Linked DNA regions of Oryzias latipes. The main gene of each other region encodes a partner of the protein of the gene in region 3 in a complex. Links are inferred from orthologs where the notes say so. Each region holds a gene or a part of one and is shown on either strand. Other genes may lie near its edges.

The links.
Region 1: lamtor4 (region 3) and lamtor3 share a complex: the UniProt entries of both Homo sapiens proteins name them as parts of the ragulator complex. The link is inferred for Oryzias latipes from reciprocal best matches to the Homo sapiens genes LAMTOR4 and LAMTOR3.
Region 2: lamtor4 (region 3) and fnip1 share a complex: the UniProt entries of both Homo sapiens proteins name them as parts of the lysosomal folliculin complex. The link is inferred for Oryzias latipes from reciprocal best matches to the Homo sapiens genes LAMTOR4 and FNIP1.

What each region holds. Positions count from the first base shown.
Region 1 is NC_019880.2:24,349,303-24,353,543, forward strand, and holds the start of lamtor3 (ragulator complex protein LAMTOR3), read left to right. Parts: upstream 1-1,431; 5' UTR 1,432-1,497; coding exon 1,498-1,530; intron 1,531-1,614; coding exon 1,615-1,649; intron 1,650-1,804; coding exon 1,805-1,863; intron 1,864-2,230; coding exon 2,231-2,364; intron 2,365-3,010; coding exon 3,011-3,074; intron 3,075-4,142; coding exon 4,143-4,216; 3' UTR 4,217-4,241. UniProt on the Homo sapiens protein: As part of the Ragulator complex it is involved in amino acid sensing and activation of mTORC1, a signaling complex promoting cell growth in response to growth factors, energy levels, and amino acids.
Region 2 is NC_019872.2:4,893,527-4,897,179, forward strand, and holds part of fnip1 (folliculin-interacting protein 1), read right to left. Parts: intron 1,583-3,653; coding exon 1,436-1,582; intron 429-1,435; coding exon 259-428; intron 1-258. UniProt on the Homo sapiens protein: Binding partner of the GTPase-activating protein FLCN: involved in the cellular response to amino acid availability by regulating the non-canonical mTORC1 signaling cascade controlling the MiT/TFE factors TFEB and TFE3.
Region 3 is NC_019881.2:23,887,933-23,890,786, reverse strand, and holds lamtor4 (ragulator complex protein LAMTOR4), read right to left. Parts: upstream 1,503-2,854; 5' UTR 1,397-1,502; coding exon 1,394-1,396; intron 1,321-1,393; coding exon 1,237-1,320; intron 1,175-1,236; coding exon 1,030-1,174; intron 965-1,029; coding exon 867-964; 3' UTR 506-866; downstream 1-505. Other genes in the region: ADP-ribosylation factor 4, read left to right, coding at 1-56. UniProt on the Homo sapiens protein: As part of the Ragulator complex it is involved in amino acid sensing and activation of mTORC1, a signaling complex promoting cell growth in response to growth factors, energy levels, and amino acids.

The DNA.
Region 1 (4,241 bases), on a different chromosome or scaffold from region 3:
GAAGATGAACGTTTGAAGATTTAGTTCACGTCTCACCTGTTCTGAAGAACATGATCAGAAACCTTCTCCTGCCTGAGCTGCAGTGCCTGGAATGTCCTGGAAACAAAGGACCCTGGAGGTGACGACACCCACCTGAGCAATCCACACAGAAAGAAACAACCGATCTGGAGGAGGCAGCTCTGCTGAAAAAAGAACTAATGACTTTTATTGGGCAAATGTTACTGATGGATGGACTGACGACGGGCTTTCAGCAGGGACAGCAAGACAGTATAATAATCTATAATAAGGGATGTTACAATACCGGACAAATAAATCAATATATTGTATCTGATTGGAGACCAAATACTAATATTTTCTTGTAGGTGGCAGTAGCTGCGAAATATTTTAGCTGTGTTTAGAATAAGTTTAAAAGAAATTTCCAATTCAAAATAATTGGAAAATAAAGTTTTAGTCAACTTTATTGAAATATGTTGCCAGCACATTTCGATCAGTTGTAAGTAATGTTAGAATCTTCACTTAGTCCAGAACTATGATGGAGGTTCTAATATATTTTCTATCTACATTTTTCCCAGTCAAAAGAAGACAAAAAACATTAGACTTGGTTTGACCATGGATGAACCATGACGTCTGACCACCAGCAGGGGGAGCAGAGAGCACACGGCAGTTTAAAACAGCGAAGAAGAAGCGTCACGTGACAGCGAAGAAGAAGCGTCACGTGACTGCAGCTCTTTGGAAATTCACGGTGGTAGCATCAGCTGATTGTTTGTTTAAACGTTCAGAGGACCGAGCTCACTGTGGAAACGCTCCGGACGGGCTCGTCGTGTTTTGGATTCGGAGCCGGCGGTTCTCCTGACTTCCTGTGACGGAACCGGCTTGGGTCCTCGGAGCTGCCATGGCGGACGTGAGTCTGTCTGTCCTCCTTTAGCACCTCCTGTTCTGTTAGGCTTCACTAAAAACTCTTTAGTTTTTGGGAAGATGCTCAAAGTTCACTATTCTCTTCTAATTACAAAAACACACAGTATCATGTGGGATGGTTTGTAGGTGATAAATTATTTCATTTGGCATTTAATATTGTATTAATGTTTCATTCACAACAGCAAATTCTTAAAAAAAAATCAAACCATTACTTAATAAATTTTAGAGAGAGATATGTTTTTTTTAATCACTAAAGTTTATTAAAACAAAAGTGCAAAACAGATAAGCTGTGTAACAACCCTTAGTTTTATATTACATTTGTATTAGACTACAGTCCTAATTTTCATCTTTATTTCTTTCTGTTCTATACATGTGGATATGTTGTGTTAAAAACAGACGCTCTACAGAGGTCACGTGACATTTTTCCATTAACTGTTTATGAGAACTAGACTGGGTGACTCCTCCCCCTGGCTGTCCAAACAGGAAGTACCTGTTGGCTCCAAGAAGCCAGAATCCCATAGACTTCTTTGGAGAAATTAACAGCGGTTACTCGGTCACTATTGTCAGTAATGCTGGGTGAAAATGGTGGTGGGGAGACCAGGATCTTCTCTGACGGTTTGAAGCTCTAAAGCTCACAGACGTCCACGTTCTTGACTGTTTCTGAGGTTGCTCCTTAACTCTTTATGCTCCCGTCTGCAGGATCTGAAGAGGTTCCTGTACAAACAGATGCAGAGGTGAGGCTTTTGTCCCTTATTGTTATTGCACAAAGTGATTTACTTTAACTATATAACAAGAAAAAAAAATCTGTATTATAAATCAAATCTCTTTTCTCAAAAAAGAGTTTTTGTATCTTATATCACATGTAAATAGTAGTTTTCTGTGTCCTCAGTGTTGACGGGCTTCACGCTATCGTGGTGACGGACCGAGACGGCGTCCCGGTAATCAAAGGTGAGACTTCTTCTGTTTCGGGTTTTCTGTTCCAATAAACTGTGTTTTAATAACTTATTAGAAATACTTTTGGCCTCAGGGCCAACCTGCTACTCAACAGGAACGCTTTATCCTCAGCCTCAGCAGCTTCTTGTTGTGGCAGTAGTTTCATGGTTTGGGGTGACTCAGCTCTGGCTCCACTCGTACGAGTTTAGGTTAGAAGTCACCAAAGTAGAGCAGAAAATGGATCTAAAAGACTCATTCATCTGCATTTTAGGGGTCAAACTGTTGGGGATTTTTCTGACTTTTTTTTCTGGCCCTGGTCTTTGAACGCACCGCTCACCAGCAGGAAGTCCTCATCCTAACACGCCTGCTTGTTTTCCTCCAGTTGCCAACGACAGCGTTCCGGTGCACGCGCTCAGACCGGGCTTCCTGTCCACGTTCGCTCTGGCCACGGATCAGGGGAGCAAGCTGGGCCTCTCCAAGAACAAGAGCATCATCTGCTACTACAACACCTACCAGGTGACCCCTCCCAGCATCACCGCGTGGGGGCGTGGCAGCCGGAACACCGGCGCCTTTCACCCGCGCTCGCTTCATCCGGTTCCTGCCAGTTTGTGTCCGGTCCGGGTCAGATCCAGAACCAGACTCTAGTCTCCATCGTCTCTTATAGTAACAAACTTCCTGTTTGTAAACTTTTGGGGGTGGGATTAAGAGAATAGCCTCACATAAAAGCAGAGTGAGACGGACTGAAATGAGATGATCCATGGGAGTCGGATCACAACAGAAGCACTAGAGCAGGTTCTGTAAATGTCAGAGGGTTCTGAGAGTAAAGAAGAACTTCTGCTGGGACAGAGAGGAGAAAAGTCTGCAAACGTTATCCTCTGATGGAGCAGACAAAACGTCCAGCAGAGGAAAATCTCAGAATCTGTTGGTCTTCTTTTGTTTTTCATGATTTGTTAAGCCAGCTGAACTTTTTCCTGAGTTTTTTTAAGAAAAATCAGAGAAGTGAAAATATTTGGGTTTTTTTTATTGCTAAGTAAAAAAAAAAACCAAATCACTCTGATGGATTCCTTCTGCTCTGAACCAGCCTAACCCGGCCAATCTCCATGGTAACCAGACTCTGCTCTGGTTCTGCCTTTGTGACCCGTCTGCTGTCTCTGCTCGACAGATCATGCAGTTTAACCGCCTGCCGCTGGTCGTCAGCTTCATCGCCAGCAGCAGCGCCAACACAGGTGAGATGAGGAGGCGTGTCTGAGGAGCCCCGCCCACTGGTTATCTGCAGTCTGTTTGATGTTCTCTGAACAGAGCGTGTCTTAAAATGATCTCAGTCTTCATCTCCGTGCACCCCGCTGTTCGTGTGTAGCTTATTGCTGCATCGTGGGGAAGGAGAAATATCGCCATGGAAACGCAAAAACTTTTACCTGAGGCCTTTTCATCATCCAAATGAAAGAAAGCAGAGAAAGTGACTCAGCATCATCGTCCAAAATATGTTGCAATGTGGTAATACTGGCATTTAAAATACGGCTCAAGAGCCAAGAAGTTGAAGTTTATCTGAGAAAAAACCCGACATTTCAGATCATTTAGTCTGACGGGAATCTCCAGGAATGTTCTGGATTATATTTAGTGAAAAGAAGAAAAAAAGTTCTTGTCAAACCCCTTCTGACAAAAGATGAATCCTGTGAGTCTGACCCATCCTGCAGACTCAGGTGGGAGGGGCCTAATCAAAACCTAGAGTGAGCCCTCCCCCCCTGGCGTTCCAAACAGGAAGTACCTAATCCTACAGAGAAATAGACAGCTGTTACTCAGTCTTTTGATCCGAGTAAGTATTCTTACTCGGATACATTTTTTTTATGATCGTCATATTTTTCTGTGGTTCAAGTTATAAACTGACCAATCAGATAAGAGTATCCATTCGACAGATTTCATGTCTTTTAAGTGGTGGTAGGGGTGTGGAGTTCCAACAAGCTCACTCCTGATTGGTGAGAGTGGTTGCCATAGAAACATGGACTCAGATTGACTTATCGCTGCTTATATATCCTGAAAAAATGGCGAGTGAATTGACTTCATGTGGTTGGAGCTGGAGGTAAACCATTTTCTCTGTGTGATGTCACATTCAGTCCAGTGCTCATATGCAGTCAGGGGATTCTCCAGATAAACCTGATCCTGACCAGGGTAGGGTCAGATTGTTTCCATAGCAACAGACTCCAGTTAGGAGCCATCCAGCTTTGTGAAAATGAATCCATCTGGTTTTTCACACGAGTGGGAGGCGTTTTGTAAAAACCCTCCTTTTCTGTCCTCAGGCCTCATCATGACTCTGGAGAAGGAGCTGGCTCCTCTGATGGAGGAGCTGAGGCAGGTGGTGGAGGTCACATAAAGTCCCATGATGCTTTGCTAAGAAA
Region 2 (3,653 bases), on a different chromosome or scaffold from region 3:
AAAAAATTATTGCAGATATTTAAAAGGTAAAAATGTTCAAAACGTATTTTAGTATTATATACTGCCCTTTAACAGCAGGATGATTAAATCATTAAAATACATAAACTAACACTAAAAAAGTATATTTTTTGAAAGATTAAAAATATTTATTGGACACTAAAGATATCATTATGCTTCAGGCAGGATATGTTTTAACACATTTAAAACAATCCCTGGAAAATGAAGATCAGGACAAGTTTGGCGAGCTGTGAGACTCACCTAGCTGTGCCCACAGAGGGTTGTAGGGATGCGTTTTTGCCAGCGTGTCAACACTCTGGGATGAGTGTTTCTCCAGGAAGATCTTGATTGGAGGCTGACCATTTGGCATAACCGTGGGAACCCAGGCCAGGTGATTGGTCAGGACTGCGGTCAACAATGCAGGGAGGAATCTGGGGGACATCAGATGCATTGAGCACAATTCAGCACACACAAACATCGTCTCCTATTAGTTCACTTTTTTTAAAATTACTACTGTTCTCATGTTCCCTCTTATGAAACATGGTGTCGCCACACAGAAAATCTTGAGAGTTTCTCCTAAACCACATAACACATTCTGCTTTTGCAACACACGTACACACACTTGTGACAAACTCACACACTAACGGCATGATTCACTTCCCAGTTCTGACCACAAGTGTCTACTTCCCTTCCTGTCTCATGATTCAACCGATCACGAAAGTCTTGTTTCATCACGTGCCAGGACAGAGCTTCGACAGCCATCAAGTCCGCTGGGGTCAGGGAAACATGTCTCGACCCAAATGCACTTGGATGAAGTGTAATCAATATTGAAGTGCAGTATTGATTAAAAGTATATAGGTTATAGGTATATATACACTCATTAAACTTCATTAAATATATTACAGACTGAAAAACCCTTAGTGAAAACTTTCAGTAGATTTCCACTCTAAATAAACTGCAGCAAGTAAGTAAGGCATGTTCAATAAAAGCCCTGCTACCAATTCAGACGCTTACAATTAGTTTGACTTGGCTTTGTAACTTTGACAATAAGCGGTTAGAGACTGGCAGGCTTCTTATTCACAGCTCTTTGGAGACGGACCAAGGAAAGGCAGGAGATGCAGTCAGTCGCAGCAAATGAGGCTCGTTTAGTGTAATGAAGGCTTTTGTTGGGAGAGAATGAACAGTAAGTGTGTGAGTCTGCTTGTGTTTCTTTGCTGATGACAATGTTGAATTAAGACTAGCCCAGTAACATTTTTTATAATGCTGACATGTTTCTTTGATAAATGTTGCCACCTATTAGCTTAAAGAGAAGGACCAACATCGTCTGTGATGGTTTGAAAGTTAGTTTCTATGGTACCGTTCTTCCCATGAAAGACACTTCCGTGGCAGAAATAGAACCTAAAGGGGAAGGTGGTGTGAGTACAGGCAGAAACTCAACTGGTTCTTGGAGGCCTGCTCCATCAGCAGGGAGAGTTCCCTCATGAATTGACCGCAGAGCTGGTTCTTCTCCGAAGCGCCAGACATCATAGTCAACCAGACGGGCTCGGCCACGCGGGGCATTGTGTAGAGGTCACAGATGGTCATCCTGGAGATGAGGTATGGCGAGGGAGGAATGAAAGCAGGAGTGGGAATGGGGAGAGAAAATAAAAATGAACAAGAGAACAGAGGCGTTTTTGTTTCTGAAGACAAACAAAGGAGATCTCAGTTCACCCGCCAGGGTTCTGGGAGAGCCCTGCTGGGTGTTTGTGACAGTTAGGCAAACGTCCACGCAATCCTGCATGCACACACAGCGGCTGGGAATGTGCATATCTTTATGTGAATCGGCTCATCTGTTAAGGGGGCCTGGAGTTTCCATGGAGCATGGGGTGTTCCCGGAGTTCGTCTCGGCTAAGGTCCAAGCTTTCGCAAGGCGTCGGAACAATGTTCCAAATCCTTCAAAAACATACACCAGTAACTGACTTTAAAAACCTAAAACTAATCAAATCCAGTCGGAGCTGCTTGAGGAATCATTTTAATCTTGCTTTTCTCAGCAAATTCAGCAAAAATAAGGGACTGGACCAGCTGCTGACAGCCCTGTGATCTGTCACAAGACCAACGTCCTGATCATGGGGACTGATAATGCTAAACTGACTGACTTTGTCCAACTGGACAGTGCAGGAAATGTCAGACTGTAAACAGGTTGACCTCATGATCTCTGACCTATAAAGGAGCCACTGAATAATGCATACAAAGCAGCTGCAGGCTGTTGGAAAACATCTGTGCCACACAGTTTCAAAAATTAGGGCTGGTATTAATAAAAAAGAATGAAACCTGAATTCATGTTTCCTTAGAAAATGCTGAATTGATTCTTCAAATCTGTAAATTACTTGTCTTTAGATGTGTTGTGCAAAAAAATAGCTTTTCTGTTCCAATTCCTTGCTAGGTTGATAAAAATGTCCCCTTTGTTTCATTTATTTGTGTGAAAACATTTTATATAACCAAATAAAACTGATTTTATAATAGTCATTTAACAAAAAGAACAGATATTAAATAGGATATCAAAGGAACTGGCTCGGCAGCGACCCCCTCCTTTAATTGGGATGCAGGTTTTTAGTTTGTTTTTTTAAACGCAAAATAGAAATGTCTGGACTTCATGGCTTAGCATAAATTGATTTTTTAAAAATAGCATGTGACTTTAAAAAGCAAAGCAAATAAGATGCTGAAAGCTGTTTTTAGTTCAGTGGTTTCATTGCATAACCTTCAACCTGCCCTCCCCAGTTATGTCAGGGGAGTGACATTTAAGATCAGTTACAGTGATATTGTTGAAAACTGACCACTAAGTTTCAAGGTGGACATTTTTTCTCCTTCAACAAAAACACGTCTGTGAAAACCTGTAGTGAAGTTTTCTTAAGCTTTACAGTTTGAATTGGTGTCGTCCTGAGTTGGACAACCAAAACCGTCAGATCTGGGTTTGAAATATAATGAATTTATCAGTGTAGGGCAGAGTTACAGTGGCCACAGCTTGAACCCACAAGAATGAATAATCGTTACGTCCAACACACGTCTGTCTCTCAGTGTCTTTACGTCAGTACAGAAGATCAGACTTTGGATGCCAGCATCAAATGACCCGGATCCACGTCAGTCATTCCCATATTATCAACTTGTCTGAGGCTTTTTAAGGCACATTGAGCGCACGCTCCATGTCGCACATTCGTGCCATGACAAGCTTCCATTGTGAGGAAGTCTTGGCCAGCATTAAGTGAAGAGTGAAATCTAGTCTGAGCCTGCAGCAGCTGTTCAGGTGAACTTCACGCAGTAAATCTGTGACCTGACCTGTCGATTTTAAACGAGCAGCTATGGAGGGGCAACATTTGTGGCACTGTGGTTTACCAAGCATTGTTCTGCAAGTCATTATATAAAATCGTTCACATATTTAAGAAGTGTAGCTTTTGTTTTGAGATTTACAATCCAACTACAGGTTACCATCAGCAAAGAATTTCTTGTTTTCTGCTTTTAGATCAGCTGAAGAACAAGTATGGCTGCAGAGCTGCACGGTTTCTGGTTACTTCGCTCATAGGTGTTCACTGCGTGTCTGGTTTTGAAATACATGTAGTCAGAAGGGACAGGGCTTTAACCCTGGGGCATCAATCCACGACTCAGGACTCTCAGTTGTGCTG
Region 3 (2,854 bases):
GGACCGGTCTGTACGAGGGGCTGGACTGGCTGTCCAATGAGTTGTCCAAACGCTAAGCAGCTGACTGATGATGTCACCGTGTACAGAGGAAGAGGAGGAGCCTTCCGCCAGACTGTTCCTGTTTTTTTTTTCTTTTTTTAAATTATAGCTGTAGAAGGAAGTGATGTCACAGACTCTGAGGTTTCCCATCATCCTCTTCTTCTTCTGCCGGTGTTTGTTCTTTTATGCGCATGTTTTAAATCCAGATCATGTGACAGGATGTTTTGGGAGAGGGGTGGGGCTTGGGGCAGGTGAGAGCTACCTGGGCAGGTGACGAGTCATTCCACAGCCGGACCGGCGCCCCCGTCATTCCTGCCTAATGTGAAGAAGAGATGAAGAAGATGACGCAATAAAGCTTTTTCTTGTCACGCTGGTGGGCTTTGTTCTGAACCAGAACCTGCAGACTCTAGACCAGACCGGTCTCAGAACTGAATCTGGTTAAGGATCAGACAAACTTCAGGTTTTCGTATGTTTATTTGAATCAGTTTTCAAAACATTAAAACTTTATTTAAATGACAAGTTCTGACAGAAAATCTGGTTTCTTTGGGAGATGAAGATTTTATTTCAGAATCCAAAACATGCAGCAGAACCTTTGCAGGATCGGTCTTCCGCTCTGCCTTCAGAACCACTGTAGCTGACCTTGTTCTGTAAAGGTCCAGAACCTAAACGTAACTGGGTTCTGTCCAATGATCCAAACAGAACCGAAACTGTTTAGAGAACTTGCTCCAGTTCTGTGCGATTGGTGGGTCACATCAGTTCATTACTGAGCAAGTCGGTTCCGACTCGGTCCAAAGGTGGACTGTCGTCCTCTCCGCCTGGCCCCGCCTTCACGCTGTGACGTGCTCAGGATGCGCGTGCTGACGTTTGACCACAAACACCTTCTGACCGGAAACGGTCACCGCCAAGACGAAGTCCTCCAGAACCACTGCGAACAGAACCGAGTCAGGGCGGGGCATCACCAGCCGAGCTCACCTGTCAGGTGTGACTTACCGGACATGCGCTTAAACGGGACGTCCTCGGATCCGGGTGACCGGAAGTGGTCCGCAGATCCAGATAACCGGAAGCGGTTCGCGGTCCGGACCATCTGCATTATGACGCTCGCCGTGTGCTCGTCGTTCTCCAGCTCACCTGCCGACTGCACAGGTGAGCCTGCTCAGGTTCGGTTCGGTAACAAAGCTGGGCCCGGATACTACTTACCGCCAGAACTCCGTCCTCGCTGATCACCAAGTACCCGAGCTGGTCCGGGATCCGGTCCAGACCCGCCGTCAGCGCCGCCGTGCTCTGCACACAACACACGTGAGGTTCGGTGAGGTTCGGTTCGGAAAAGCGGCACGGAGACAGAGAGCGAACTCACCATTCTTCCGGAAGATGATCCTTCACGTGACTGCTGACGTAGGCTGGTGGGCGGTGCCTTTCAGGCCTTCCAAGCGACTTCCGGTCTGTTTCGCTACACTTCCTGTTTACTTAGTCAATAGTTTTCTTCTATCTGAGCATGTATTGATTATGGGGTAGATTCTATGTAGACGTTTGTAGCAGACGTCTCTCATCTTGTTATTAATTAATCATTTCTGATTCAGGGTCCAAACATTTTTCCAGGACGAGTCAGGAATAAATGTTCTCCAATAGAAAACAGCAGAGGAACAGAAATGACGTTTAGCTGAAACACGGATGATCTTGTTATTCTTTAGTTGAAACAAGATTTTCCAACATTAGTGTCACTTAGAGACATGAAGGGAATATTTGCATCAAGTACAGTATTTTTAAAGAGTTCACAGATTCAGTAGGAACGGCGTCCCCAGTAGGATATTATTGTCAAACCAATGATTGTAAAATAAAGATTTGTTCTTGTAAAGGATATCTCTGTTATTCCAAATAAAAAACTTATGAGGAGAAAAGTTGTGTTTATAGATAAGAAAGAAGAATCTGTGAAAAGCAGAGATTTTCACTGGGATTCTGTCGATATTATAATCACAAAGCAGAAGAAAATGGAGAAAAGCTACTTTAGCAAACATGTGACGAGGGAAAATATTCCAAATGGAGAGTGGATTTTTGAAATATCATCCAGTTTATTTTAAAAGTATTATTTAAAGTAGTAAGATCAAGAAAATTTAGGCCTCCTTTTTCATAGGAGTTCATTAATACAGATTTTTTAAATAATGAATCCGGTTTTTCCAGATGAAGTTTAGCAGCATTTGATCAATAGATTTCAGAGTCTGATTGTCCAGAATTAGTCAGTCTAGAAATCCCCTCTGCTGTGGAGAGTGAATCCTTCCTCAGACTCTGGTCTCTCTGAAGCCTTTGGTTCAAACGTTTTTTGGCTTCATCAATGAGGGGGAGGGAAATTTAATGAGCATCTTTCTAAACTACTTTTGGAAATATTAACGCCTAAATATGTTACAGTTTCTATTACAGGACTGTTGCAGATTCTAAAGCACAATCTTCAACAGAAAGAAGTTCTTATTTGTTCAGACTGAGACGTAGACCTGAGACATCAGAGACAGACTGGATACGGTTCAGAGATCAGGAAACCTGACTGCTGTCTCTGAAGAAGAGAGTCGTGTCATCAGCAAACTGACTCATTAACATTTCTTTATTAAGAACTGAGACGCCTTTTAATTTATGAATATTGATACAATCAGCAAGAGTTTGGGTAACTAGAAGAAAAAGATACGGTGAAATAGGACCCCCCCCCCCATCTGATTCCTCTATTGGGATTGAATCTGGGGGGGGGCATTTTTTAGTTTGACAGAACAGTTAGCATTAGCATACAGAGTTTTAACTGTATTACAGAAGAAATGTATGAAGACAGCTGAAG